Linked DNA regions of Astyanax mexicanus. The protein of the gene in region 1 purifies or fractionates together with the protein of each later gene. This does not show direct contact. Links are inferred from orthologs where the notes say so. Each region holds a gene or a part of one and is shown in the gene's direction. Other genes may lie near its edges. The genes, in order: nrp1a, kdr, ubr2 and mitochondrial chaperone BCS1.

What was found.
Region 2: the proteins of nrp1a (region 1) and kdr purify together in Homo sapiens (affinity purification with western blotting; 7 studies listed by BioGRID and IntAct, with this or other methods). This does not show direct contact. The link is inferred for Astyanax mexicanus from reciprocal best matches to the Homo sapiens genes NRP1 and KDR.
Region 3: the proteins of nrp1a (region 1) and ubr2 purify together in Homo sapiens (affinity purification with mass spectrometry; 3 studies listed by BioGRID and IntAct, counting the BioPlex papers as one, with this or other methods). This does not show direct contact. The link is inferred for Astyanax mexicanus from reciprocal best matches to the Homo sapiens genes NRP1 and UBR2.
Region 4: the proteins of nrp1a (region 1) and mitochondrial chaperone BCS1 purify together in Homo sapiens (affinity purification with mass spectrometry; 3 studies listed by BioGRID and IntAct, counting the BioPlex papers as one, with this or other methods). This does not show direct contact. The link is inferred for Astyanax mexicanus from reciprocal best matches to the Homo sapiens genes NRP1 and BCS1L.

What each region holds. Positions count from the first base shown.
Region 1 is NC_064413.1:44,998,576-45,005,778, reverse strand, and holds the start of nrp1a (neuropilin-1a), read left to right. Parts: upstream 1-4,175; 5' UTR 4,176-4,578; intron 4,579-6,013; exon of another isoform or gene 6,014-6,281; 5' UTR 6,282-6,616; coding exon 6,617-6,686; intron 6,687-7,203. UniProt on the Homo sapiens protein: Cell-surface receptor involved in the development of the cardiovascular system, in angiogenesis, in the formation of certain neuronal circuits and in organogenesis outside the nervous system. Mediates the chemorepulsant activity of semaphorins.
Region 2 is NC_064408.1:64,162,328-64,169,923, forward strand, and holds the start of kdr (vascular endothelial growth factor receptor 2), read left to right. Parts: upstream 1-4,575; 5' UTR 4,576-4,832; coding exon 4,833-4,896; intron 4,897-7,596. UniProt on the Homo sapiens protein: Tyrosine-protein kinase that acts as a cell-surface receptor for VEGFA, VEGFC and VEGFD. Plays an essential role in the regulation of angiogenesis, vascular development, vascular permeability, and embryonic hematopoiesis.
Region 3 is NC_064414.1:19,519,086-19,527,007, forward strand, and holds the start of ubr2 (E3 ubiquitin-protein ligase UBR2), read left to right. Parts: upstream 1-4,911; 5' UTR 4,912-4,960; coding exon 4,961-5,044; intron 5,045-7,922. Other genes in the region: si:ch73-193i2.2 (transient receptor potential cation channel subfamily V member 6), read left to right, coding at 140-186. UniProt on the Homo sapiens protein: E3 ubiquitin-protein ligase which is a component of the N-end rule pathway.
Region 4 is NC_064418.1:38,080,786-38,088,654, reverse strand, and holds the start of mitochondrial chaperone BCS1, read left to right. Parts: upstream 1-4,844; 5' UTR 4,845-5,021; intron 5,022-5,222; 5' UTR 5,223-5,298; coding exon 5,299-5,618; intron 5,619-6,716; coding exon 6,717-6,856; intron 6,857-7,009; coding exon 7,010-7,204; intron 7,205-7,299; coding exon 7,300-7,363; intron 7,364-7,618; coding exon 7,619-7,791; intron 7,792-7,869. Other genes in the region: znf142 (zinc finger protein 142), read right to left, coding at 561-1,385, 1,545-1,772, 2,287-2,314. UniProt on the Homo sapiens protein: Chaperone necessary for the incorporation of Rieske iron-sulfur protein UQCRFS1 into the mitochondrial respiratory chain complex III.

The sequences.
Region 1 (7,203 bases):
CTTTCATTTTGGAGAGGCCTGGCCAGGAAATATGACTGTTATTATATGAAGTTGCACTAGTTGTCTGGAACGCTGAAAAATAGGCTGTTAAGGGGAAAATTACAAGCAAAGCACTGATTAATAAATAAAATGAATGTTGTATGGAAGGCTTGTGCTGAATGAATTAACGTGGGCTTTGCTTTTTGGGTGGCAACTTTGCGAAATAAAAGGAAAGCCAAATTAAGAAAACCAACAGGGTGGCTCTCAGTGGCATGAAGCACTTTTGTTCACAGCTAATTATTCCACAGGAATGTATTAAAGATTACTCAGGATATGCAGGAACAAATCCTTTAAATGGGCCGCACATTGTTCCTGCACAATCACCGTCATTTCAGATATGGCTGCGGTAGACCTTGTGAAATTACTCAGCCCTATTGTTCCATATTCATATTACCCTCCAGAGACATCACTCTCCTTCCAGACCCTGATGGAAAGCCCTATACTATATTCTCTCTCTCTCTTTTGCTCTCTCTACCACTGCCTATCTTTAAAACGAGTGTAATTACCAATAGTGATTGGTCATAAACGAATGTGTTCCTTTGTTCAGGAAACATTTCATTACTGGCTAGTGACAGAGACGCTCAAATTGAAGTGCTCTTTGCAATCAAATCAAAGTAAAAGCATGTGGGGTGATCAAGTTGTCATCTGTGAAAAGTCTAAATTTGGGTTTTCACCTCTATTGAAGTCCCTTATCCCTGGTGAGTTGAGGGGTCATTGTTTTGCCCCCTTTAAGTGTGTTTTTCACTCTCAGAGAGAGGGACATCTGCCCCTTCTAGTTATAAATTGAAAACAGCCCTTTGACAAACAGAGGAAACAGAGGAAGATCTGATCATCATATCTTTTGAAGTCTTCAGACACGTCCCTGAAGAGCACATGCTGAATGCTGACTACAGCTTTTGTATTTCCTGGGTGCAGAAACACAAAGGTCAGCGACATGAACTCGCCACATATTGAGACAGTAACAGATAACCTGAGGGGTCAGCTAGTCCAGTGAAACATCAACCACAAACCAGAAACTGTCTTTCTTCAAGAAAAACATGGATAAGCACTTAGGACTTAGGACTGGCTATCAACAATCAAGCTTACTGAAGGAGACATTTGAAAGAAATAAGGCTTTTGTTTGTTACTCTGCAATAAATGTGACAAATTTAACCTCTTAAATTCTGCAAAACCACAGCTTTTTTATCATCAGCCAGTTTGTAATGCTGGATGTGTTGTGTAATAAAATCATGGAGCATAAGGGGTTAAATCTGTCATTGAAGAAACATCTGCTTGATTCATTCATTCATTCATTCATTCATGCATTAAACTGAATGAATGAATGAATGAATAATTGATAATGTACTAAATAAATAAAGAGCATCATTGCATATTAATAAATAAACAGGAACCATAAATAATTAAATTGGGGACAGAGTTTAGATATGTTTCCAAATATTTTCCTGAACAGTACCTTTCAAGGAAAGTCTATGTAAATAAACTGTATTTTGTATCATTTTGTAGGATTTTTATTTTTTAGTTCATTATAAAGCAAAAAAGGAAAAAGATAGTTTTATACACTGAAATGCCAATTGTTATGAGACAGTAACTAGAATTTTGTCCCATGGTTTGCCATGTCCCATAGAAGCTCTCTCACTTTTATAATCATTCACAAATAAAATTGTAGATGTTTTTACTCCACACCTTAAGAGTTCATGGTTAAAAACTACATGATGCAGCATGTCTCTGTGTGTGTATGTATATGACTACTCAGCCTTAATGAGGTCCACCACTGTTTAACCTCATTCACCTTATAGCACACTGAGCATGTGTCCTGCATTTATTCCCATTCTCGGTTCCTCTACATAGATCATGGCTGCCTTTCACATTAGTCAGTCAGTCCTCTGTACTTTACTCTCCATTACTGTACTTCTATCCTGTAATTAGACCTGCTCTCTTGGAGTTCTTGTTGTGATATCTGGTGTTGATCAGTGAAGGGTATGTTCTACTCTTGAGTCTTGCTTGGCCCCTTTGAGGGTTGTTCCTCCTGCTCTGAGGGAGTTCTTCTGTAACTGTTGCCTTTGCCTTGCCAAATGAGGCTGGATGAGACCAGGTTTAAAAGCCCTTCTAAAAATACTATTATTATAAGTATTATAAGAGAGGCATATGTAAGAGAAGAACCATTAACTAGTTAAAACATTCATGCATTCAAATGCTCTTTGATTTGTCATTTAAATAAATAAATATGTGGACAGAAGGAGAATTTGTTGTTGTTTTCTCTGTATTTCAGCCTATTTGAAATGAAATAACATCTAAAATTTCTGTCACTGTCACACAAACAAATGTGTACACAGAAAATAGCAACTTCACAAGAAAGGCACTTAACTTTCAAAGGAAGTGATCCGTGTCCTTCTGTAGCATTTTTATTGGTTTTATTGTTCTATAGGTCTAAAATATATGTTGGGACAGAAAAAAATATATATAAAAAAGGATAAGAATTAGGACATGAAGCGCAGGAACATGTTTTCAATAGCAAGTTGAAAACTTGACCAATTTTAGAAGCTTATTAACCCTTTCCCAAAAACTTTGTATATTCAAAATGTTAACTTTACAGGAGAAGGGAAAAAACTGTGTAAAAATGATTTTTTTTGTTTTCAACTTTTCCATTGGCCCTTTTCTAAAAAAAAAAAAAAAAAAACTGCAAAGAACATAAAAAATAACTTCCAGATAACAACCCATATTATATTTTGTATCGTATTATATTCATGCTGGTAACAAATTTTGATATAATGTGAATTTAAAACTGCCAGTTGTTTTAAGCATTTGTTTTTATTGAAATAAATGTATTTTCTTCTTCTAAAAATGCAGTTTACAAGGTTTTTTGCATGGCCTTAACAATGTTTACTGACTGTTACAGTATTGATAGAAATGATGGGCTTTATATAAAACTGTCATGTTGTTTACTGGGTTGCAGGAAGGAGTCCAGGCAGTGCTAACTGACTGTCCACTAGAGTAGTACTCCACCTGGAGGAGGGACCGTCTCTCTTATTTTTTTTCTCTCTCTCTCTCTCTCTCTCTCTCTCTCTCTCTCTCTCCTCCATCCTCCACTCTCTCTGCTGGCTGTGAGCGGTTTGGTGATGATGAACTGTGCTGCTCTGGCTGCTGTTGCTGTCTTTCACTTAAGAAAGGTAAAATCCCCCTTAAATCACCTTTGCATACATTACCTGTAGGTAACTTACACTAACTATATAGCCTACACTAAACACACACACGCATATGAACCGTTATAACACTAACACTAACACTGTTATGTGGTCTGTAAGTGGAATATTAAAATGCACAGTCCAGGTAAGATCAGGCATGCATGAGGGTGCTTCTTTGCTATCTCAGTGGTATTGAGATGTTGTCCACATTGATTTGTCAGTCTCAGCTCATTGCTCTGAGGACAGTTAGCAAATGCAGGTCTGAATTCTGACCAGTGCACATCATTCCTGCTTCTGTATTATTCCTGCTGCATCCTGAACAGCAGAAGCAGGAGCTGCATGCCTCAGCCCTTTTAAATGTTGGGGTTTTTTTTCATCATACGTTTGTTTTTTTTTTCAAACTTTTCACGTTTAAACACGTGCATATAAATAAACTCCTTTCAGTGAATAGCTGAGACTGGATAGCGAGCTCTCGCGCATAGAGAGACGAGCCTCACACTGGCTCAGCTCTGCCTTGCTGTTTTCTCCACACTGGAGATCCTGAAGGCCACGCCCACCGCGCTGCGATTGGCTAGGCGTATTTCATTTGCTTAGCTGCGATTGGCTGATTGTAATCCCTCCTGTTGGGCGGGTTGATTTCGAACATAAACGACTAACCAATTGCATTGACTGTGTTTAGCCATTTACAGCATTGGTGGGCGTGGCTTGGGAGATGTGGGTGGGGCGAGACATCCTAGTGCCCGCCTAGCTACCGGACAACAGATGTGATAACAGATCGTGTGAACTGAGTTTTAGAAGCAAGCTTTGATAATAATAATAATAATAATAATAATAATAATAATAATAATAATAATAATAATAATAATTTTAGTTTTTTTTCACTCATATTCTGTGAGCACGTTTATATTCTTAGTATCAATAGTAAGCAGATCTCTCTCTCTGTTTATTCTCTAGGTCTCTCTCTCACTCTCTCTCTCTCCTCCTGGGCTGGGCAGAGCCCACCAGCGAGCCTCTACTGCTGGATGTGTCTGAAGTTAATAAAGAGTGAGCGACCGTGGGAAGACACACCTGGCACAGCTCACTCACGCGCTGGAGGAGTGTGTAGGGAGAGTGTGGTTTGTGTGTGTGTGTGTGTGAGAGAGAAGAGAGAGAGAGAGAGAGAGAGAGAGAGAGAGAGAGCGTGCATTAGAGGAACGCTCCTCACGCGGAGTTTTTTTTGGATTATACAGCCTTCCTTCACCACAGCAGCAGCAGCAACAGCAGAGCACCACGACCCCCATCAGCAACAGCAGCATCAGCAGCTGGACCCCGAGACACTCTGGACATCACTGGATTTACACACTGGATCCAGAGGCAGGTGAGGATTGATTTATTGGCACGGGGTGGACAGAGCAGCGGCGCGTGGGTATGTGTCTGTGTTGACATTTGGCGGTGTTTGTCTCTGGTGTGACTGAGTGGGAGTGGATGTAGTAGGCTCGTGTCACATCACGAGACCGCCTGTTTTATATTACAGTCTACTGTATTTCAGTCTCAGACCTCAAACCTGCAGTCTGACTCCTGCTAGACTGCTGGCTACGCGCGTGCATGATAAAGCGCAAGAGACACGCGCGCGCGCACACACACCACACAAACACACGGGCCGGTTCCATTCAGTAGTTTCAGTTTCCCTAGTGAAGCAGTGTGTGTACTGTAGGTTCTACAGCGCTACAGCAGCAGTGTGCTACCCCTCAGGTGTGTGTGTATGGTCTGTCATCTGACGGTTTAAAAGTAGGCAACAATAGCCCAGAGAGAGAGAGAGAGAGAGAGAGAGAGAGGTTTAGCGAGAAAGCACAATTGAAAACACATAGAGGAGAGAGAGATGGAAAGAGAGTGGGAATGAGAACATTTAAAGAAGAAAGATAAACAGAAGACAGAGAGAGAGAAGGAGCTAGAGGGATAACAGAAAAAAGATGTAAACATAAGATAGAGTCAGAGAGATGGAGATTGAGACATTAAGAGAAGTAAATAAGAGAAAGACAGAGATAACGAGAAAGAAAGCTTAATGGGGATAGAGAACAAATAAAAGACTATAACAGATATAACACAAATAAACAGAAAAGAGACTGAGCGAGATATACTAAAAGAAAAATTGAAAAGCAAAGAGAGAGAGAGAGTTAGAAAAAAAGCAAGCACACAGAAGAGAGATAAACAGAGACATATGGTGAGAAATAGAAAAATGAATTAGATAAAAGGAAACAGAGAAACAGAAAGAGATAAACCGAGAAAGTAGAGACATGAACAGAAAAGAGATTGAGAGTGAGATATTATAAGAGAAATAGTAGAGCAAGAGACAGAGAGTTATAAAAGACGCAAGCACATAGAAGAGAGAGAGATAAACAGAGAAGCAGAAAGAGATGAGAAATGAACAGAAGAGAGAGGAAGTGAGATACTGGAAGAGAAATAGAAGAGAAAGTGTGAGCGTTATAATAGAAGAACGCACACTGAAAAGAGAGATAAACAGAGAAATAGGATGAGAAATAGGCATAAAAATAAATATTAGATTGTGGAAAAAATGAGAAAACTGAGAAATTGAGAGAAACGAGTGAGAAACTAGTAAACTAAGAGAGAGAATGTCAATATCCCTATACCTCTCTCTGTGCCAGCAGTAGTTGTGTGTGTGTGAGGGGGTGTCTCCCTGTTTAAGTCTGTGTGTTGGATTGTCTGCGGTGTGTGTGTGTGTGCGCGCGCGCGCGCGGCAGCTCCTTCCTCTGCTGTCACACTCCGAGTCTTAAACAGCGCTCACTCACACACACACACTCATTCTGCAGCCAGAGCGCGAGCGCGCAGGAGCTCCATCTCTCTCTCTCTCTCTCTCTCTCTTAGATACACACATACACACCCTCTGTTCTCACTCTCTGTTAGACACACACTCACTGTGTGTGTGACTCCGGCTCGCGCTCACTGTGCTCGGTGTCTTCTTTATTGTGGACGAGGATTAAAGTTCTGCACGCGATACTTATTATCTCTCTCTTTGTGTGTGTGTGTGTATCCTTTCTGTCTGTCTGTGTGTGTGTGTACCAGGCTGTGTATGCATGCGCGTGCGATTGAGTGTGTGTGAGAGAGAGCGTGTGTATGGGTGCGTGGTGAGCGCGTGAGGGACATGGCAGCCCCGGAGCTGGAGCGAGGAGCTGGGCTGGATGAGGCGCGCGGAGAAAGGAGCTGAGCGGCGGGATGAGCAGGGAATGACAGAGACCTGAACACAACAGCAACACTATCTATCTCTTTGTGACACGAGCTTGATTTCTGATCCAGAATCCGGGAATATTGATCTCTGAGGATTTTCTATTTTTCCTGATTTTTTTTTGGTGTGGGACATTTTCTGGTTCTGGTCCAGTTTTGAATCGCCCGGACCGAGGATGCGTTGTTGTGGATTAGCGCTGGTGGGCTTACTGGGAGTGTTGGAGATCGTGAGGGCTTTCAAAAACGGTAAGTTTTCTTTATACCTGCTTCCAAACCATTGTTTTTCGTTATATTAGGTGTAGCGCATAGCGCACAGTGTGTATCTGTGGGTTACTGAAGGTGGGGAATGCTCAGGTTAGCTCCTGGTCACCTGCTCGTCCAGGATCCAGGATCCCCGTGCGCTGTATAAAGCCCTAAAATAGCAGCCCATAATCTAAACCTGTCCGTAGCCCCTTGCCTGGAAGAGCAGGTGAGCCCATATTTTATATTTCTTCATTATTAGATCTTAAAACATCAATATGTGCGCAAAAGCTTGTAATATTGCTCTCCAGTTTAAGATGGGAAACGCTTTCCCTTAATTTCAATGTCCAAACCTGATTTCTACCACTTTTCCATATTTAAATGAATCAGGAAATAGGCCTTTATTCTACTCAACTTGTATAATGATTAGACTAACCACCATGCATCAAGGCGACTTGGAATATAGTCTCCTGTAAAGTTTACATATCTTACAAGAAAATAACATATTGATTTGTTCTTTTTG
Region 2 (7,596 bases), on another chromosome or scaffold:
TTGCTGCCCTCTCCACATATGATTTTGGCATCCAGTATAGGCCTGGACGGGAGAATATTGATGCAGATCTTTTGTCTCGAAATGCCACCGATGATGTGGGGTGGATCTCCCCAGCCGCAGTAAAAGCTTCCTGTAAGAAGGTGAATGTTTCTGTTGACATGCCTAGCAGGTATGTAGAGCAGTTAGGAGCCTCACCTAATGCTATTCCAGAATTATATGCCTATCCCACTAGACTGGGTGTTAGTTCACTGGAGCAACTGAGTGGAGAGGACTTGAGGAGAGCACAAGAGGCTGATGCAGTCATCAGTAGGGTCCGGAATGCTGTAGATGGAGGTCTGTGGCCCCTGGGTTTCCAGAGTGACATGCCAGACATGCCCTTATTCAAACGTGAGTTCCAGAAGCTTGTGCTAAAAAATAGACTCCTGTACCGGCGAACCAACAGAGGAGGGCATGACATTTTCCAGTTAGTACTTCCCAAAGTTTACAGGGATACAGTTCTACGCTCTCTACATGATGACTTTGGCCATTTAGGAGTTGAAAGGACTACTGAATTAGTCAGAGACCGGTTTTATTGGCCCAGAATGGCATCGGACATAGTTAACTACATTAAAACATGCGGCAGGTGTGTAGCTCAAAAGACTCTGCCCCGCAGAACAGCACCATTAGGTCAGCTCTCTAGTAAAGGCCCGCTTGATTTGGTATGCATAGATTTTTTATCTGTTGAGCCAGATTCTAAAGGTATTGCTAATGTCCTTATAGTGACAGACCATTTCACCAGATACTCACAGGCTTATCCTACTCGGGATCAGAAGGCCCCTACCGTAGCCAAAGTACTGTTAGAAAAGTTCTTTGTCCACTATGGACTGCCGGCCCGTATCCATTCCGACCAAGGGCGTGACTTTGAAAGTCGCCTGATCAAGCAGCTACTTGACCTGCTGGGTATAAAAAAATCCCGGACATCTCCCTATCACCCTCAAGGGGATCCCCAGCCAGAGCGTTTCAACCGCACACTGCTGTCCATGCTGGGCACCCTGGATCCAAAATTGAAGCACAGATGGAGTCAACATGTTGCACTTATGGTGCATGCTTATAATTCCACCCGTAATGATGCTACGGGGTACTCTCCCTATTATTTAATGTTTGGTAGGGAAGCACGTTTACCTATAGATGTATGCTTTGGCACTGCTTTGGGAGGGCAAGAGGAAGCCAAGCATGAGATGTACGTGAAAAAGCTGCGTGAAGAGCTGCGTCGAGCATACCAACTGGCTGTTGAGTGTTCTAACAAGAGCCATGACAAAAACAAAAAGGCTTATGATGCCAAAGTACACAACCTTCCTATAGAGGTGGGGGACAGGGTTCTGGTCCGTGCTTTAGGGAGTACTGGGAAACAAAAGTTGAAAGATAAGTGGAATTCTGTGCCTTATACAGTGGTAGAAAAAATGCCTAACATACCTGTGTACAGAGTCAAACCTGAGAGAGGAGTAGGGGTGCCCCGAACACTTCACAGAGACCACCTTTTACCCATTGGCTGTCTGATGCGTTTACCAAATGTTTCAGATATAGCAGACTCACATTCAAGCCTTGGGGACCAACAAGCTCGGACACGTCGCCAGCAGCAAACGAGAGTCACGGAGAGCCATTTTGAAACAGAAAATGAGCAGTCTGATTTGGAAGAGGACATGCCTTATGTCAGACCTATTGAGTTCTCTGAACATTTTCCTAGTCCATCCTTACAGCCAGAGGGGCCGAGCCACGATCTTGCAAGTGAGCCTGTCGATGCAGAAGTTGCAGAACAGGAAGAACCCCCTGGGGAGCCAGACATACCTATGTCTGTAGGGGAGGAAAATGCACCCGAATCGCAATTTTGTGATGTTTCTGATACAATGGAGGTCTCAACCAGTGACCAACAGTTGTTGGAGGAACAGGAGACCGAACCAGACATGATGCCCAGTGACCCCTCTTTGGGTAAAAGAGCTGTTAAACCTGTCATTCGTCTGAGCTATGATGAGCTTGGGAGTTCATCTGACCAGCCTCTAGTTATTGTACACCGAGGGATGAGAATATATATCACGCCCCCAGTAGAACCCTCAGTTGTCCCCTGTTTTTCTGTTCGGTTGACTCTCGAATGAAACTGCCTAGTAAAATTTAAAAGTCAGATGAGGACATCAGACGTTTAGAAGGGGGAGGGTGTAGCCCAAATATAATTCAGTTCTATATTTAGTTCCATGCTTCTATGTATCTAACTACTGAAAAAAAAATGTTTTATAGGTGTTGTTGAATGGTACTGAAATATTGTAGCAGTTTGTGTAAGATTTTTAATGTAATAAGAATATATATATTTTTTCTACGTTGAATTATACAGTATTTTGAAAAGTGTTCTTACATCCCAAGCACCTTAGAGGGTTAGGGAGTCCATTTATTGGGTCATCTACCTGCCAATCTTACCTCCTTTTCCATTGATTGGTTGAAGGGGCGGGGAAATGGAGTAGCGGTGTGTGTGTGTAGGGAGAGAGAGGGAGAGAGAGAGGGACGAGGGAAAAAATACAGGAGCTCTGGATGTTTTATGGCGTTTTTGGTGTTTTGTTAAAGTTTGGGTCCAGAGTGACCCATGAGTTAAGTGAGTATGTATTTCTGAAGTGTTTTTCTTTGAGAGAGTTCGCTGTTGAACACTATTAGATGAGTTTTAACTCTGTTTATAGCTTGTAAGTTAGCCTAGCCGGCTAACCGTAACGAGATTTAACTTTAGTGACGAGCCACGCGGAGCTGCGTGTTTTCGCCGCTCAGATAGCGCCACGAGCTACCAGGATAACGCTCGTGGTTCCTCTGGGTGCCTCGTGGGAGCACTTTTACCCCGGATAGCGCCACAGGTCAGCCAGGAAGCACCTGTGGTTCCTCCGGCAACGTGGGAATTCTTCAGTTCAGTCCTGTTCAGGTAGAGGAGAGTGGCCAACTACCCGCTCTGAGTCAAGAATCTGAGTCAAGAATTTGAGTCAAGAATCTGAGTCATGAATCTGAGTCAATTCGTCAAGAGTGACTGTGAGTAAACATCTCCGTTCAGAAACAGTATCAGGCCTGCAACGTTTTTTTTATTTTATTTCTTATTTACTGCCGGCTCTTTGTATTTATTTATAAATGTATTTTTTTTTTCCCCCTCTTTTTGTTAAACAAGTATTACTAAATATGTTAATTGAGTCCACTGCATTGTCTACCTAAGTTGAAGTTATTTAGGTTATAGAAGGTTTAAAAGAAATACATCAGTTCTTTCCCTATATTGGTATTTTCAGATCTAATTACACATTAGTGTGTATAGTTTTATTTATCCCCATTTATACATTTTGTTTTTGTGCATCAATAAACTTCACTGGGAGTACTCATTGCAGCCACATATCTTTAATTACCTGTGACTAGGTCTTTTACTTCTTCAAGACATATTTACAGTTGGTAGCTAAATTTACAGGAGAGGTCTAATTAATGAACTTGGGGCCCTGTCCCTTTGGCCTGGGATGTAGGAGGGGTTACATACAGTATATTAGAAAAAAACGTGATTGAAAGTTGTCTGTTTTGCCATTGAAACCTATGGGGATGGGTGGGGTTACACAGCTTTCTGAAACCGAACAGCAGGGGGCGCCCGACCTGTGGTGGCTTCACTTTTGAGAGACGATGCTCTGTCCAGCTATACACAGTCCAAACACCCTTCAGACTGGGTGACTCGGGTGACCCGATGAATCGCTTTTTCCACTGTTATCCAGCCTCAAAGTAGCTCCACACCTCCTTGACAGAATTCAGAGAACCTTGACATTTAAAATGATGCATTAATAACTTAAAAAGTGCACAAGAAGCTTATTAAAAAACTACTGTTTACATCCTATAATGCTAGCTTCAGCTCCGCATAGCGTAGCATCTGGCGCCAAGAGGCAGGCTATGCGAAGTCTATGTATATTTATGTCTATGTAATTTTTTAGTTCAGTGATGGTGGCGCTCGGAGCTGAAGCTAGTGTTATGGGATGTAAACAGAGTTTTTTATTAAGCTTCTTTTGCACTTTTTCTTGTGGTGAACAATCCATGTGTGAAAATGATGATCTCATGCTCCCTGAACCACTCTTCTACAATTCCAGCCCCATGAATTCTGTTATTGTAATCTTGGAATATATCCTCGTCATCAGGGAAGAACAAATCCATTGATGGAATAACCTGGTCTATATTCAGTATATCCAGGTAGTCAGCTGACCTCATTCTTTCAGCACATACTGTTACTGAACCCAGACCTGAACAACTGCAACAATACCAGATCACCTGCTTGTTTTAGCCAGGCAGTGTATTTGTGCTTTGTGAACAGGAGTCTGTTGTTATTGGTAGTGAGAGTCACTAGTATCACTGTTATGAGTGCAGGTCAGTTCAGGTCTGATATCACTCACTGCTTGATAGGTTTAGGTGCTGGGGTAATTAGTGTTTGATAAGACGCATCCTGACTCCTAGACCTGATCTAAACTCCCCACAGTCCAGTTTATCACACGTTTCCAGGCTCGAGACTGAGGCTGGGTCACCGGCCCCTCCCTCTCCCCCCATCATCTCCCTCCTCACGCGCTCTGTGCTGCTCCCTCAGTGTGTGTGTGGAGCGCGCGGGTCTCCTGCAGTGCGCGGGGCATCGCTGAGTGGATTATCTCCGGGTTCCGCTACAGGACTGTGTGAGAGAGTGTGGACAGCAGTGTGTGTGAGAGAGTGTGTGTGTGAGTGTGGAGCTGTGGGTCCTGATGCGCAGCTGAGAATAGCCGTCCTGTGGGAACTTCTAAGAGGGGTTTGATGCGGGGACAGTCCGGCAGGGTGGTCGCACCATGGCAAAGCCATTTTCACTTCTCTCTCTGGTGGGCATTATTTCTGCAGTCAGCTGGGTGACAGGTAAGACCAATACAGATTTATATTAAAAAATAATAATAATAATTTATTTACCCACCAAAAGCCTAAAATCTAATAAATATAACTGCATATTGTTTTATTATGAAGCAGTGACCCGGATTTGTTTATTATGTCTTTTATGTTGTTGTCATTGGAAAAGACGTAAAAACCCTTCTTAAGTAAAAGTCCATATAAAAAGATCCAAAAAGTAATTTTTAATAATTGTTCCACTCATTATAAATATTTTACTCAAAGTAAAATACACAGCAAAACCAGTAAGTGAATAGATGTAAAAAATCTAAATAAAAAATATATCTAGATTTAAATTAATAAAAAAAACAACACTAATATCTAGATTTAAACAAAATAAAAAAACAAAAGCAACAACATATCTAGATATAAATAAATAAAAAAACAACAACAGAGTTTAAAAAAAAACTCATATGTGTTTGATGTGTGTTTAAATAGATAGAATTATAAATATAATATATAAAAATTATATATATAATTACCAAACAATAAAGTTTTATTTGAAAAGCAAGGAAAAAAACACATAGTCTATGTATTTTATGGTGAGAAAAGTGGCAAAACTAATGAAACCTTAATTAAATTTTGTTCGATATCCTTTCTCTGGTTAAATGTTAATTTTTTTATTATGTTCGAATACATTTAGTGCATCAATTTTTTTTTCAGAAATAAATAAGTGTTTAGTAGCTCTAAATATATCGCACCCACTCTTTCCTGCTTAATTGTAATCAGCTCAGGAAGGGAGGGGTATCAGACTAGTGTCTTAAAATGCTTGAGAACATCAAAATTATGTATAAAAACATACAAAATATTATATATATAAATATATATATATACATTAACATTACATTTGTAGGTTAATATAAAAATATTTAATTGTAGAAAACATAATTTCTTATGACAAGTCATCAAAGAAATAATAAAGATCAAATGCTAGTTCTGACAGACTGCTCATATTAAACGTTTGCCCTTCATCTTTTTTTCTTTCTTTTTTTTTTTTTTTTAAAACTTGTGACCATTTTGCCCAGAACCTGGTGCCATTCCCACACTGGCATTGTTGTTTGAAATGACCTCAGTGAGCAACAATTCTGAGATCAGATCTCAGCACTTCTTAAATCAAATGTTTGAATTAGTGGGGCCCTGTGGGGTGTGCTCATTGTAGCTGTGGGCCGATGTTTGTGTGCGTGTGTGTGCTGTCCCTTGCCCTGGTTCCTCTGGAGCAGGAACCCCACCTCAGGGCTTGGAGCGTGGGGCCATTTAGGCCGGCCCCGGCCCATCTGCCCCAGCTTCCTGTTTTGACACAGTCAGTTCTCTGCACTGCTGCTGTTGCTCCAGTGGAAAAATAGCCCCAGAGCTTAGACTGCACACTCCAGAATTCTCCAAGAGTGCTGGTCCTGGATCAGGTGGACTTCAGGTCTCTAGAAGAATACATGGATGGAAGCTGGTCTTAGATCAGTACTTGTGCTTTGAAATATTTCAGTTGTATGGGCCCAGAATTCTGAACCAGGCCAGTTCAAGCAGTCGGATTCACTACTGCTGTTATCAGCTATAGTCTGTATAGTTTATGGTGTATTTATGCTGCTGATACAAGGAGAAATGTGCATTAATGAGAATTATACAAAGCAAGAGTACTGAAAATAGTAAGGTTTTGGGTTCAGCTCTGCTTACAATACTTTGTATATTTAATTAATATAAAAATATACAAACCCCAAATCGAATTCCTCATGATATAAATACATGTAAAAAAGAACAGAAAATAGTATAGTTCCCAATTGTCGTAAAATGTGTGGGAGCAACACATCTCCAAAAAGTTGGGACAGGGCAACAAAAAGCTGGTCCTAATAAAAACAGCTGCAATAGGAGCAATTCATGACTAACTCCCATGAATGGGTACAAAAAGAGCATTTTAGAGAGTTAAAGACTCTTAGAAGCAAGGATGGGGAGAGGTTCACCAACCTGCAAAAAGATGCATCAACAATTTGTGAAACAATTTTAATGAAAAAGTTCCACAATGTAAAATTAAAGATATTCCTGATTATCCCAACATGTACAGTACATATCATAATTGAAAAATCTGAGAATCTGTGTGTAAGGGACAAGGGAGAGGGATCAGTATTGGATGCTGGTGATCCTAAGGTCCTCAGGTAAAACAGCATTAAAACTGGCATGATTCTCTTCTGAAAATCACTGCATGGGCTCAGGAACACCTCCAGAAACACGGTTCAGCATGCAATATACAAATGCAGGTGGAAACTGTTTGATACAAAGAAGAAGCCACTGACCTCTGACAAAAGCACTGCTGTCTTTTCTGGGTCAAAGCTCATTAAAATTGGCAAACCCGAAAACTGTTCTGTGGTCAGATGAATCAAAATAAGAAAATTTAAATTTGGTGCAGAGAAGCTTCTGGATTGTGTCACATTGTTCTATGTGTTATGAGAAATGTCGGTACAATGGATGTTCAAATTAAAAGATGATGTTACTATGGTAATGAGAAAAGATGACATGAAGCACATTAAGTAAATATCCTTCAAACTATTACCCAGATTGGCGCTACACATTAACTTTGCCAGTGTTTAATTACATTTCAACACTCACAATGTTTGTTTAACAAAATCAGTGTTGATTCAAGACTGGCAAATTTACTGTTTACTCTGTACACTAATAAATTCCTGAATG
Region 3 (7,922 bases), on another chromosome or scaffold:
GTGGAAGATTAGAACGGTGAAGTGATGTCTTCCTCACTTCCTTTTACATATTAAGTGAATGGCTTGGCAAATTCAGCAAAAAGATTTTTACTTACCCCAAATAATAAATCTCTCACATTTGTGCTTATTATGTTTACAGCTGCTGCTGATGTTCCGAGCACATCTTCAACAACTACAGGATTGTAGAGAATGGACGAGTGAACTATGTTTGCTTTTAAATATGAGAAATAAGGAGTCTTCCTTAAACCAGACTGATGTGTGTGGTACAAATCCAACCACATTTGGATAATGGTTGAATACTGGTACAGATGGTATTCTGGTCATGTATTTGAATGCAGTGCTGATTCTGTGGTGAATTGCCTGGTGTAAAAGTGAGGACTGTCTAATATGAATGCCCCACTGCTCTTCAAATGTCTTCCTCAGTTTAGAAAATCAATGTCCAAGACATTTCCGGGACATTTTTCATAACTTCCATAGACAACAACCTACTGTATGTACACTAATGGCACCTGTCGTACACCTTCCCCTGCTGTGTTCCGATGCTCGTTGCTATCTTGCAAGTGTTGAAGTTTAGAAATATATCTACACTGATGGGCGTGCTAATTTGAAAGTGACGCCTGTTCAGGAAAATATCTGTTGTGTTTCTATCTTGGCGGCGGGAAATACAGGTGCGCCACTGACTGATTAAAACCCTGACAACAGTCAACACTCATCCGTCCAATCCTGTCTTAGCCATGCAGGAGTGCTGTTCACGCTCAGCTTGTGTACATCCCTGCTCCTTACACACACACAAATAAACTAGCTACAGTGCACAAATCAACAATAAACAGAATAAAGAATAAAATAACATTGCTGTTCCCAAAAATAAGCTGCTGGCGTACCTTCACAGTGTGAATGTGCCCTTACAATACCAAAGACACAATGACACGCTTTTAATTGACCCATGCACTATAGATTGCTAGTATAAGACCCTAAGTGTAGGTGGCCTATTAAAAGACTCTCAATGTAAGAGTTTAATTGAATTTAAAATTTAACAACTAGAACTGTGTAATAATCCTTTCCATAAAGAAACATAAAAAACTTTGTGTTTTTCCAAATGTTTCAAAGGTTTCAGAACTGCTCTTGTAGGTGGGACGTTAGTTAGTTTGGAAGTTTATTATGGCTATATAGAAATCAGGTCAAAGTCAAGTTGTGGGATCTATATTCATGAACACATTGAATATAATCGTATTGTATTATATAAGTGATGTGTAATAACATGCAAACAATTGTTGCTTCTGTCAACAGCTTGGGAGGCAATTCCATAAAGTTAAAATCAAGAAAATCAAGAAAACATTAAAAAGTTGCTAAAACAGCTAGCAAAAATAGCTGACTGATTGTGTGAGGCACCTGTGTGTTAGACCTATTGATAAACTGTAAACAAAACAAAATTTCTATGAATAAAAAGTATTTCTTTTTAAAAAGAAACATGTTAAGACATGATGGTGGTACATGAACCTGTACATGACATTTGTAGCAATATTTAATTTAATAAAAATGGTTTTATAGCAAAAAAAAAAGCTCAACTTTTCTTGAACATTTGTAACACTTTTCTTACTTTTCTTAGTTTTCCTGGCTGAAAAATATAGTCTATTTATTTATGTTTTTTTTTTTTTACTGATTTTGGAAGACATCTTGTTGGTCATGTTAGAATCTGGACTTAAAGTCACTAAAGTTGGGGTTTCTGCACATTTTAGTGGTTTTATTGTCTTTACCTTCAAAACAACAAGCTTGTTAATGCGATGATTAGCTAGATTGGGTATATTGGAAGCAAGGTAAACATAAAAAGTGTGCAGCACAGCAGATTTAGCTGCTTTTTTGGTACCAGCAACCAGACTTAGAGAGAACACAACAGACCATGGCTGATGTATCAGAGTTGGGAATTTAGCACTTTCCTCTGAGAGGGTGCCTAGTGACGCAGGATTGAAAAGAGGTAGTGGCTGAATTCACATGCATCAAAGCAAGCTTCCCTCCAGGACTATAAAAAGACTGAAGAAAAAGTCACCACCAAAAAAAAGGTCACACACTCTAATATTTAGGAACACTTTTAGCTTTGATTGCAAGATGCATTCACTGTGACATTGTTTCAGTAAGCTTCTGCAATGTCACAAGATTTATTTCAATCCAGAGTTGCACTAATATTTCACCAAGATCTTGCAGCAGCATTGATGATGGTAGAGTCTGACCGCTGCACAAAGTCTTCTCCAGCACATCCCAAATATTTTCAATGAGGTTAAGATCTGAATTCTGTGGTGAACAATCCATTATGCTCCTTGAATCACTCTTTCACAATTCCAGCCTCATGAATCCTGGCATTGTCATCTTGGCATATGCCCATGCCGTCAGGGAAGAACAAATCCATTAATGGAATAACCTGGTCTGTATTCAGTATATTCAGGTAGTCAGCTGATCTCATTTTTTCAGCACATACTGTTGCTGAACCTAAACCTGCAGACCAACTGCAGCATCACCAGATCATTTGCTTAGTTAAATCCAGGTGGAGACTTTTTTTTGGCCAGACAGTGTACGTCAGAGCTTTTTGGTAAAACTACATTTACATTTTGCTACAATTTGGTTGAAAGTGAAAGGTAGTAAAAAGACGTCTTTCTTTAGTATAAAAGACATTTATGTAAGGTTGGAATTTCTATGTATAGAAATAAGTTATTTTTAACTTTAACTTTCATCCAAAATGTAACTTTTTTTTTTAATGAATTTTTTTGGACAGTTTGTTTCTGAACTAAAGTAGCGGGTGTAAATGTGGGCAGAACCAAAGAAGCAATTTTTGGTCTGAAGAAAAAAGTAGTTTGCCTGCAGTCTGAAATACTTTTCTAGATAGATTGGACTTTCGGGGGCAATTACAGAAAGTAGAAGAAGTCTTTAAACAAACCAGAGGGAAAAAATAATTGGTGTTGTGCCAAAATCTGACTCTCCTTGCATCACACCGCAGTATGGACCTAAACATTTAGACTGGAAATTCATTTATTTACTATAACAGTAGATTTAACCTTATTTCTAAACAGAAATAAAAGAAATCTGAGGATAATCTTTTACACTCATTTTACACACATGCTGCGGGGGTGCAGGTATGAGAAGGGGAGTCGGATTCTAACAGAGAGCTAGAATTCGTCACAACACCTGGCAGATTAACGCACCAAACTCATAACTAACATTCTACAAACCAATCAATATGAAGTATAAAAAGACTCCATCCCGTAGCTGCTGATGACGGAACGTAGTAAAGTTCTTTATTCCGCTCAGTCACTAAACTGCAGTATAAAACCAAAACTAACCGGACTAAATGTACACATTTTAACACATGACCCTTAGTACGGATTCTGGTCAGGACCTTCAGGTTTAAAAAAACGGCCTTAGAAAAGTGAAAAACAGCCACACTAAAGGTCCAATCCTGTTTTTCTTTTGCACCTCTTCCCCTTAGAAAAAGGTTACAAAAGAAAGGGGACAAATCCTCCCCCTAAGAATTGGGACAACCTTTCAAGAACCTATAAGCAATCCTGCCGGGCTGATGAATAGTAGTAAAGTTCAGCCACAGCTGCTGGTTAGTTAGTAAATTTTAGGGAATGTCTTCAGAAAGAGGGCCTGTCTTAATTCATCTGTGAGGGGAACTGAAATTAGCTTTTTTTCTTCCTCCATTGTCTGTTGCACCATTAAGGGTGGAATGGGAAGGTTTGCTCGCTAGTTAGCTATTGAGACAAACTACTAGCGAAACTACTAGGAAAATATTCAAATTTCTGGATTTCTTTGGTCGCTTCTGCCATCATCTTGCCAATAATTCTTATAACCCTTTGTTTTGTGTTTTAAAATATCAGTTTAAAGGGTCATGTAAGCTTAACACTTACCCCTAGCCCTCCAGCCTAACAAGATTTGGGACACCGTATCCTACCAAAACTGAGGGAAAAGGCTAAGTGGTAGGGCCAAGGGGTGAAATGGGATTGGGCCCAAACCAAGCACTGAACAAAACACAGGCAAATTTCCCTCATACAGGGTAAACAATCCAGATAAAAAAAATATAACATTTGTCTCATAAATAACACTGCTTATAGCTGCTTAGCTAAAATTGATGGATTCATTAAATGTTTATGACCTAATTATTAGCTATTATTAGTATTTGTTTAATTTAGCATATAGCTAACCAAAGAGTTTGGCATTATTTCTATCACTTAGCCCTCAAAACAGATGATTTTACCAAATTGAAACCCTCTGGTACATAATCAAGAGGAAGATGGATGATCACTTTAACCATCAAACAAAGCTAAACAGGAGTGGAATAAAGTTATCCAAAAGCAGTGTATAAGACTGGAGGAGGAGAACATGCCAGGATGAATGAAAACTGTGCTTAAATACCAGGGTTATTCCACCAAATATTGATTTCTTTATGAATATTAACTTGTTTTCTTTGCGTTATTTGAGGTCTGAAAGCTCTGATTTTTTTATTGTATTTTCAGCCAGAATAAAACCAAAATGTGCATTTTACACAAATCAAATAAACTGATTGAGAAACTACATCAGTGGTGTCTTAATTTTTTTCCAGAGCTATATATATCTATATCTGTTTGGTTGTCCCAATTCTAAGGGGAGGATTGTTACAAGCTAGGTGTATCAGGTTCTTAAAGGGTTATTTATAGATGATTTTACTCTCGAAAATAAGGGGTAGGGATACACAAGAGAAATGGGATAGAGCCTATGTGAGGGTTTATGTTGTGTAGGCCAACATCATATTACATATTAATTTAGGACTCAGGACGCAGTGCTTAGTTGTGTGTCAACAAAGAAGAAACAGCAGACCATTATGTTGGGTGTTATTATTTGTCAGCTAAGAAAAGTTGACCCGTTTCTTTTCGGAAGTTGGGCGAACGGCTGATTTCCGTTTCCTTTGCCCGAGCTCCAGCAGTGAAGTGTGAAGATGGCGGCGGCTGAAACTGATCGTGAAGTCCCGTCCGCTCTCTGCAGCGAATTTCTTCAATTCTCAGCGAAGGACACCGCTGCGGTAGGGGACAGTTTTATAAAATAGATGCTAAACTGCTGTATTTTTGGACGGGGTGTGGGAGAAAAGCGGTTATTCCTTTTTCCGCGGTGACTGAGGCGTTTTTTTCCACTCGGGTTGTTTTCCTCAGAATAGCAGCCGCTGTCGCTAAGCTAACGCTAACACAGGGTTAGCTATAGCTACAGCTACAGCCTCTACAGAAGCTTTACTGGCTTTCTTGGTGAATAACTGGCTAGATAAGTAGCTAGCTAACAAACTAAACAGCAACAGCCACTTAATTGTGGGTTGGCAGTGCAGTTAGCTACGTATTTAAGTGTTTAATATTTAACTGTTTTTATTTTTGAGACCCGTACGTTAGCTAAATGTAGTGTTGTTTTGTAGCTAATGGTGAGGGTGTTTTTATTTGGTTGTTTTCGTCCAGCATTGCAAACTGCCTTAGGTTTAGGTTATATATTAAAAAGCTACATATTATTAGACTGTTACAGTAGCTTACATAGCTAAAACTTGCTAAGTTTACTATCTTCCCTACACAAAGATGCAAAAGTGACCAATAAAAACTCAAATAGAATAAATATGAACAAATAGACAGCAATATAACCGAGTTAGTTAACTAGGTTATGTAGTTAGGTTCGCTGATAGCTAATCTAACTACTTACAAGAAGAATTTAACCAAAAACAGCCCCTCGTTACATAAATAGTTCGGTTATCTATAAGTCACAGACCCTTTAAAAGATGTGTAAAGATCCTTAATGCATTCTGTCCGTCATTTTAACTTAAAAAAACTAACTAACTAGCTAACTAGCAAATTCCCTAAGTGACACATGTTGCTGATCTTATTTAACTACAGGATGTAGGATTGATGGGTTAGTGCTGCAGATAAAACTATATCCTTTTAAAATATTGTTTTTAGCTTCCACAGCTCAATTCAAATGCTTTAATGAAATGTTTTAACTACCGTCCATATAATTAGTTTGTATACATTTTCTAAAACACCCTGGTACAAGTAGCTAGTATTTGCAACACAGTAAGGCAAATTTCACCCTCAGTTGTGACTGAATGGCTGAAAACAGTTGTTCTTTTAATTGTGTCAGAATGTCATAATGAATGGGCCAAATGTCCTTACAAAAATCCTTTTTACACTGATTTCCTTAAAAATAATTTTAGTAATAGAACACGCTGTTACTTAGACCTGAGTAAAATTAGTACACACTGCTACTACTGTTAAAATGATTCTTACATCAGGGATTTGACCTTAACATGTTTACAGTTGTGCTATTTTTAGTACATTAAGAGAAAAAAAATTAGTATCAATATTCAGAACTGTGTCGGTGCTCTTATGGGTTGATTATGTAATGAGGGTTACAATATAATAAACTAGAGTAGGGTAGGTAGCTAAAAGCTAAAATGCTTTAAATGTATACATAGGGCCGCAACCAATGATTATTTTGGTAGTCGACAAATCTGACGATTATTTTTTTGATTAGTCGATTAGTCAACAATTCTTTTTCCTATGTCCTCCATCTATAAAAAAATGATCGAAAAAGGTAAACATGAGATTTAAAAAGCATGTAAACAATCAGATGTTGTTTAAACATGGAAAGTACTGATTATTTAGTGAGTAAATATGTAATCTGTTGTTTTTGGGCACTTTTGGAGACACAGACTAAGTTGAGTGTAAACTGTGTGAGTGAGTCATTTACCCATCTCCCAATGCGCTTCTGTCCCCAGCACTTTGTGTAATGCAGTACTGTTAGAAATTAACGATTAGTCGACAATGAAATTTGTAGTTGACAAATTTAAATAATCGACATTGTTGACTATATCGACTAGCCTAATCATTGCAGCCCTTCTATCGAAATCTGTCATAATAATCCCTTTTCTCCTAGACGTTATTGCTATGAATGAAATGTTCTGATCAGAATTGTCCAGGATGTTTAGCTATGTTTACATGTTGCTTAGAGCTGCACAGTCTTCCACATACCTTCCAGGTTTAAAAGAGAAAAATGAAAAACTTTTGCTGTGGTCTAAGAAAGGTTCCCATGCACTTTTGTAATTCAGATTTGTTTACTGTTTGGCACCAGATAGACTATTGTATATCTAGCTGACAATGTTGTCTGTCCAGGACCTTCATCTACAGCTTGTTCAAAATAATGACCAGAATTTACTAACTACTAATACTGGGTGAGTTCAGAAGTTCTGTAGTTGGAAGATTCAGTGATGGTTGTTTGTATGTGGCAGTACAGGTGTTGGTCACTTTGGCATGTTGGCTGTTATCAGGAGGCAGAAACACAGCATGTATACTGTAGTCTTCTATTGTCTGCAGTACAGCTTAACCTCTAAAGCAATCTGTATTGGAACTTTTAGCTATCATACTGTGTCATGGCAGAAAATGGCACATGAAAACAAATCTCAGAAATGAAAAGAGGACCAACTGTAGGCTTTGTGAGTCTAATCCAGGTTAGTAGGTCAGAAAGTGCCAAGTTCCATTTACCCATGTAATCCCTTTGCGCATGTAATGCCTTTGCCACGGAAATGAAATCTAAGTAGTTAAGTAAACCCTCTAAAATGTAATGAACAATATGCTATTATGTGATGTATACATTATTTACTGGACAATTACCAACAGAACTCTGTCTGTGTATGTCATGTGTATGTCTATGGTGTTACCAAATTAGCGGCCACTAGTTCTGAGAGAATGAGTGCTTATATCTAGAGTTCAGAAGTTTAAACCGACAGTATGATCTGAATTTAGTTCCTAGATCACCCCTGTTGGTCCTAAGTTTTTATGTAGGATGAACCTGACTTTCTTCACTGCATTAAGTGGGTCTGTGTGCTCTAAGAGTGTCGCTCCAAGGAGTGAAACACTTCTAACCCTGTGCCA
Region 4 (7,869 bases), on another chromosome or scaffold:
ATTAATTAATAAAATAAAATCTCTTTATATTGGATTCCAGTCAACATTAGATAGGGTTTGTTCTCTCCTGTAAAACCTGGTTCACACTACACAATTTTAATCTTGATTTGGTTGGAGTAAATCAACATTTGCTCTGCGCTGCCTAAGACGCTTTGTGTGAGCTGGTAAGGGATGCAATACAAATGACTGCAGATTGGTCTTTGATGCATTGCAAACTCCCAACAAATATCTAGCAGGTCTACTAGCAGGGCACTATCAATCATTTATTTACAGACAAACATTTTGAAAGAAAACATGGATCTTGCACATGGCACAACATGAGCTCTCCAAAAAATGTGATTCTGGAAAGTCATTGTGAGTTCCTCCACGTAAAAGATTGTGTACTTTATGACCCTTTGTCACTGATCATTCTTGCAGTGTGCAAATCACAACCACTACAGACAATAAGATCTGTAGTGAGAAAAGTGTCATGTAGTGTAAACCTGGCATAAGGTTTTCAATATGAACAATGTTTTTGCTGGATATAAAAAATACATATATATAGTTAAGGGTCAACTCACCTGTATGCATCAGCATGTGTCTTTTAAGGACTCTTTTGTGAGCAGTCACAAAGTTACACTCTTGGCATCTGTGAGTTTTCTCACTGGCATGAAAGTGGCCAACGTGCTGGTCATACTCAACTGGATTGAAAGTAGTAAAGGGACAGAAGCCACAGCTGAGCTTCTTGTCCCCTGCATGACCTTGTCTTCTGTGCTGCTGAAAACGGCTCTTGTTAGAGCATGTAAAGTCACACTGTGTGCAATGAAATGCCTGATGTGTTCGAAAATGCACCTCCATATCTTCCTTGCATCCAAACAAAGCATAGCATGCATGGTGACGACACTCCACAGCCTTGATTCTGTGCACATCCAACAGGTGCTTCTGAAGCAGCTTTTTCTCTGTGCATTGAAAGGAGCATCCCTGTTGAAAGCAGGGCAGAGGCTGCCCATCAAATGTCATGTGATGGGATTTCATATGGCCCTTTAACGCCTGACTTTGACTAAAGGTCTTTTGGCAGGTTGGGCATGTATACAGGTCTGTGGCATCTTTATCCTCTCCTGGATGCCCATGCACACTGATGAGATGGCGGCGCAGGGTGTTGCGTTCCACTGCACTGTACTCACACAAATGACAGCGGTGCAGCTTCTCACCAGACTCCCTTAGCATGTGGACACGAAGTTTGCTCTTGCTGGTGAAGTAGTGCTTGCAGGTGGGGCACTGCAGGCTGGGGTCAGGAAAGTGGATACGCATGTGCTCCATCAGATGAGAGCGGGTCTTAAAGCAGCGCCGGCATTCTGTACATATGTGAGTGCGAAACATGTGCTCTGTTCCCTCTTCCACGTGACCTGAATAACAATAAGAATAACAGGCAGGATTTTAAAAGTTCTTCAGTCTAGTACACCCTAAATACCTATTTAACGAAACAGAGGTTTAATGGATAGAGCAAAACAATTGATAAAATTAAAGATTAAAGAAATGAAAATAGAACTGAATTGTTTTCTCACCTTGGACTGAGTGTACAGATGTTTCCCCCTTAAGAACAGAAGCTTTATCTCTTTTACTTTCATATTTCCGTCTTTGAGGTTGAGGATTTTTAAATTTTGTTACTTTGTTTTCAGCTGAAGTATGCTTCAGAACTGTTCTCCTTTTCTCTCTTTTTGTCTTTTGAGTTCTAAATTGATATTCATCATGAACACTGTCTTGCATTGCAGATTTGTCTTGGTTACAAACTGCTAAATAAAAAAAACACAAATGTAGTTAGAAACAAAAATATTTTAGGAAACAATTACATAACGGTTTTATGTAAAAAGCCTTTGCTTTTAAACACAGCAGGATACCACTGTTGATAGTCTCATACTAACATCATGTTTACATAAAAAAAAGGTACAGTGACCAAAATGAAATGTCTGCAAAACTTTATAATGAAATTCTAATAATGTTTAACTCTGTAGCAATCAAAACTCAACATGTATCTAATGTTGAAGCTTGATGTCACAATCTTGATTGTTTTTGACAGTAATGTGACTTTGATTTCAAACCACAATTTAACACCTGTACAATGTTTGGAATTGGAATGTCTACCAGATTTTCATTGACAACTAAACTTCACTTTTCCAACATTAAAGTCCAAATCTTTCTGATATCAAACTGGTGTCCAGTGCAAGCTGGGGATGTTTATTTGCCTTAATAAGAATATTTAAATTGTAGATGACTAACCCCCGTTTTTTACAGATTTCTTATGCTTACTGTCATTGCTTAGCTCTTGTTCCTCCATCCTGCTCCAATGGTAAAAGCCCAGTTGGTAAATCCTTTGAGAAGTGAGTGAGGTGGATTAGTGCATCTTCGTATGCCTGGCTAAACCATCACCTGCCTTGGAAGGATGAAGTATCAGTAATTCACGTCTACCTCAGCTGCCCTACATATAAATAAAAGATATTCCAACTGAAAAATATTATTCAAACCTGGAAAAAAAAAACATAAAGGAAGACAAAAGATTAAATTAGCTGCATTCGAATTTCATTCAATCATTTATCAAAAACAGAAACAAACCCAGATAGCAAAATGATGTGTAATCATCCCTAATTTTCCATTGCTAGTGCAGTAAAATAATGTTGATCTTTGATGTCAGAATTATTTAATTTATGCACAATGATTTTACGTTGAGTCAACTTTGATTTAACATTGTGGTTTTATATGTATGGTTTGTATTAAGCTATATTTACATTAAATATGTATAAATTGTTTGCATTTTATTCTTATAGTCTGTACTGTGGTTTTGCAGTGTAGAAAAAGACATTCAAATAATAATTATTAACCGGGTCATGCCCTTGCTCTCTCTAGGGCAATACTAGTGAAAAGGGGAGTCCTAATAAGTGGGTTGGGTAATTGGCTATATATTATATATAATAAGTTATGATCTGTGGGAAGCACCTATACATAAACGCTGGACTTCTTTCAGTCAGTTAACCATTCAAATGCTTTAATGAAATGTTTTATGTTCATATAACTAGTTCTCACATGATTTTCTTAGAACAAATTGTTAAAATAAAAGTTATGAAATTTGTGTTGTGTAATTATAATCTTAAAATATTTAGTCATGTGGTATCAATAAGAGAAAAACATGAATGTGCTGCTTACTTACTTTATCTGATTAAATTTTGAATTTGACATCAATATTTAGAAATGGTCTGGGCTCTTATGAGTGAAATTTACAAATAGCTACATTTTAAAAACAGTTTTAACCTGAGAAATTTACTAAAAACACGCTGAAATATTGTTATTAAAATCAAAACATAATTATGACCGACTGCCTGCAGGTTTCAGAAGATTCCACTCTGAAAAACAGCGCATTTTCAGGCTAATCTAGCGCCTAAACAGTCACTCACTCTATTTAACATAATCTGCGGTTCTTAAAAGTTGAGCTTTTAACAGTGTAGCACTAATCTAACTAACACCAAAAATTCGCCCCATTATGTTTTAATTTACTCACATTAATCGCACTTGCAGTGATACAGAGTGAGAAATGTCGTGCGAGCGGCGCCCTCTGTTTTCGTTATTAGCTAGTAGTTAACCTACAAAACTAGCATAGACGACGCAGCGCTGTTGATAAAAAAATAGTAAACGCAATTTTCACATTTAGCTTGAGTGTTACATTTAAAGCACCTTTTTTTACATTTGTGTGTCACGTCTATTAACCTATTTTTTTTGTTTTTGGCTCATTTTAGCATGTAACCCGGAACTGTTTTGGTGGTCCTGGTTTCTACGGGAAAACGTTCCCCAGAACACCTACAGTGTCATTGCGCTGGCCATGTGAGACCACAGAGCTTGTAGAGAGGAGAATACCCACTTAAGAATGTCTTTCGGGCTCATATGGAGCAACTGATAGAAAAAAAATCAGGCGTTCTCTGCATATGCGAGTGCGAAAGATGTGCTTTATTCCCTCTCCCATGCAATCTACATATCAAGAAAAAAATAGGCGTGGTCTTTTTTTAATAAATCAGAGGATTGTTTACCAAATCAAAATCTAATGGAAGACTACAGTACTCTCAAAATAAATAAAAAGAACTGAAGTGCTTGCTTAGCTTGCGCTGAGTGTACATATGTTTCCCTTATAAGAACAGAAGCTTTGGGTTTTTTACTTAGATTTTTCTGTTTTTAAGGCTGAGGGTTCTGAACATCTGTTTCTTTGTTTTTAGATGAAGGATTGACATTCATCATGAACACTGTATTGTTCAGTTACAAACTGCTGAATACAAAAAAAAAAACATTAATAGGCCTTTGCTTGTAAATACAGCTGGCCACGAATGTTAATATTCACATACAAACTTTATGTTTATATAAAATACCAATAGGGACAATGACAGAAATTCAAAGTTTGCAAAAAATTATAATGAAATTCTAACACTGCTTAACCTTGAAGCAATCAAAACTTTTCTTAAAGCTTTTAAACTCTAGTAAACTCATGTTATAAGCCATTTAAACGCCACTCTTGAGGATCAGCTTACCAACCACTCTCAGTGCTTACAGTAGCAGTAATGCTAGCGGGTCTGCTGTCAAAAAATCGTTTTCTGTATAAAATGGACGTATGCAGGTAAGTTTTCTTTACTTTGTTATCGAAATAATTACTTCCACTTTCTAACTTAAAAGGAATATCCTGGAAAAGTTGTTAGTTACTCATTTTTATTAGAGTTTTAAGCCGTTTAGATTCATTCATCACCATTCATTAAAGACTAACTCGCGGGCTCCCTCTAGCGGTTTGTATTAATTTTCTGATTAACGGGGGAACTGAACAGTGGGTAGGCTCTCCATATACCAGCTCTGGTGATCCGTCCTGGCCCTATGGTCTGCTCAGTGCCTGTATGGGGACACTAAAGCACTGAAATCACTTGATTTAGCAGCAGTTATGGATTTATGTGGAAGTACTACATTACCTAAACCATGAGATGGACACGATCAAGTTATGTGTCCATACTGTTAGTTAGGTAAGTAATGCAGCTTGGGTTCTCCTTTAGACTCCATTCAATGACAGGATAGGAGAATAACTGGTAAGCTAGGCTAGCTATGTAAACCAGAGCTGGTTAATCATCATCATCTGGATATGTTCAGAGCTATTTCTGTGACTGATAGATAAATTCTGGAGATAAATGAATAGCTATATGTGTGATCTCTCTCTTGTTTTGCAGATTTCATTAAAGGAGGGACAGTTGGACTGATGGTGCTTGATTAAGGACACACTTAAGTAACTAGTGCATCCAGAAAATGACCCTTTCCGATTTCCTTGGGGCTTTGAAGGACAACCCCTACTTTGGGGCAGGCTTTGGGTTGGTTGGTGTGGGCACAGCTCTTGCAGTTGCCAGGAAGGGGGCACAGATAGGCATGATCTTCTTCAGGAGGCATTACATGATCACTTTAGAGGTTCCCAGCAAAGATAAGAGTTACCACTGGTTGTTGAGCTGGATTACCAAACATGCCAAGCATACACAGCATCTGAGTGTGGAGACTTCATACATGCAGCATGAGAGTGGACGGGTGCACACACATTTTGACTTCCACCCAAGTCCTGGAAACCACATCATTTGGTGAGACACTACATTAACGTACCTTATACAGTTCTTAAATGGAAATGGAGATTACACTGTACAGGAGTTAATTGTTGGACACAGCTTTGAGACTATCATAATTGTGGGACATCCCAGTTGCAAAAATTAATTTCATGGAGGTACCCCCGGACCTGGGCAATACTAAACTCACTATTACAAACTGTACAGCGGGCAAGACTTTAGTTGTTTTTTTTTTTTTTTTTACTTTTATGGAAAAAAATATTTTTTAGATAAGTCAGAGGAGAAATGAGTTTGGATGGGAGCCATGATGCTCCTTCTCTTACTCATTGAACGCGTCCCGTCCAGGAGGGGGAAAAAAAACATTGCCTGCCCACACTAAAAACCCTCTCTGTTTTGCATGCACTTTGTGAATGTGCACACAAGGGGAACACTTTTCTCTTTCTCTCCTTTTTTTTCACATGCGCCATTGGAAAAAAGTCTATGTCACCTGCATGTGCATTTGTGCTCACTCTTGGGCCACTCTTTCTAGATTCCAGGAGATCTTATGTGACTTCAGGAAGCTGTTCGTATTCGTAATATGCGGTAGACTCCCGCAACTTCAGGGAGACTTGGGAAGTCATGACTATATAAATATACAAAACAATAAACAAATCATAGACTTTTTTTAAAGTTGTATTTATTTAGACAATTGAATAAAGCATCAAATATGCCATTTTAGATGACACTCTTATCCAGAGTGACTTTCATGGTTATTCCTCTTACAGAGGTGGGTCAATGTAGTGTTAGGAGTCTGCCTCAGTGAGGCAGTGATCCTGCACTGACTCTTATTGGTGTAGCGCAGCATTCAGTCACCCAGAGTGGGAATTGAACCCCAATCTCCCACATGTTGTGGTAGCTCATTGGCAGGAGGTGGGGTTGTTATTCACTGCGCCATACCAACCACAAACAAGTCAACATTAAACCTCCCAATTAGTCATTTTATTAAGCCTAATTACTGAACCAGTCTAGTGGCAACAGTGAAAATAATGTGACTCTTTCAATCAGTGACCCTGTGTTTTTATGTGTTCATTGTTTGGACAAAAAAATAATTAAATATGTGCAATCACTTTACTGCAGGTATGGGCGTAAGTGGATAAGGGTGGAGAGGACCAGGGAGAAACAGATGGTGAATCTGAACACAGGAGTACCTTGGGAATCTGTCACGTTTACTGCCCTTGGCCGAAACAGGCAGATATTTTTTAATATACTGCAAGAAGGTAGGTTGATCAGCAGTCACAACATGTACCTTAGCTGCATCAAGTTTTAGAAAATCATACATTAGGATTCTAATTCATAAAAGTTGTCTATTGTTGAATAATTTTAAGAAAAATGAGAAAGTTTATGGATTTGTTTCTTGCTTGCTTGTGTAGCTCGAGAGCTGGCTCTAAAGCAGGAGGAGGGTCGGACAGTGATGTATACTGCTATGGGAGCAGAATGGAGGCCGTTTGGCTTCCCCCGCCGCCGCCGACCATTATCCTCTGTTGTCCTGGAGGCTGGGGTGGCCGAGAGGCTTGTGGATGATGTAAAGGAATTCATCAGTAATCCAAAGTGGTATACTGACAGAGGTACAGTTTAACAATCTGTGAGATATGATTCTTAAAGTTTTAAAAAATATTTCTTGTTTCAGTTTTCATTTTTGTTTGTTTGTCTTTTGTTTTAGGAATTCCATACAGAAGGGGGTATCTATTGTACGGACCTCCAGGATGTGGAAAAAGCAGCTTCATGTAAGACCAGTAAAAATGTTTTTATCTTAGTATAAATTATTCATTTTTCTACAATTACTGCAGAACATTACTGTATACAGAACATGTACTGTATAATGTCAGCATGTAATAATACATAATAAAGAGGCAAAATAATGTGCAGTATAAAATAAGAAGAAGTGGTTAAAAATGATGCAATTGTTTTAATAAAAATGAACTTTAACTTGGATTACAAGTATTTGTGTTTATAGAAGTATTGTGTATGCTTGTGTGCAGAACAGCACTGGCTGGGGAACTGGGCTACAGCATCTGTTTGATGAGTCTTAGTGATCGCAGTCTGTCAGATGACCGATTGAACCACCTGCTGAGTGTGGCTCCACAACAGAGTATCATTCTTCTGGAGGATGTAGATGCTGCTTTTGTCAGTCGGGAGCTGCGGCCCACTGAGAGTATGACCTCAGTAACTTTTATTACTGATTACACAATCTCCTATTTAGATAGATAGATACTTTATTGATCCCTGAGGG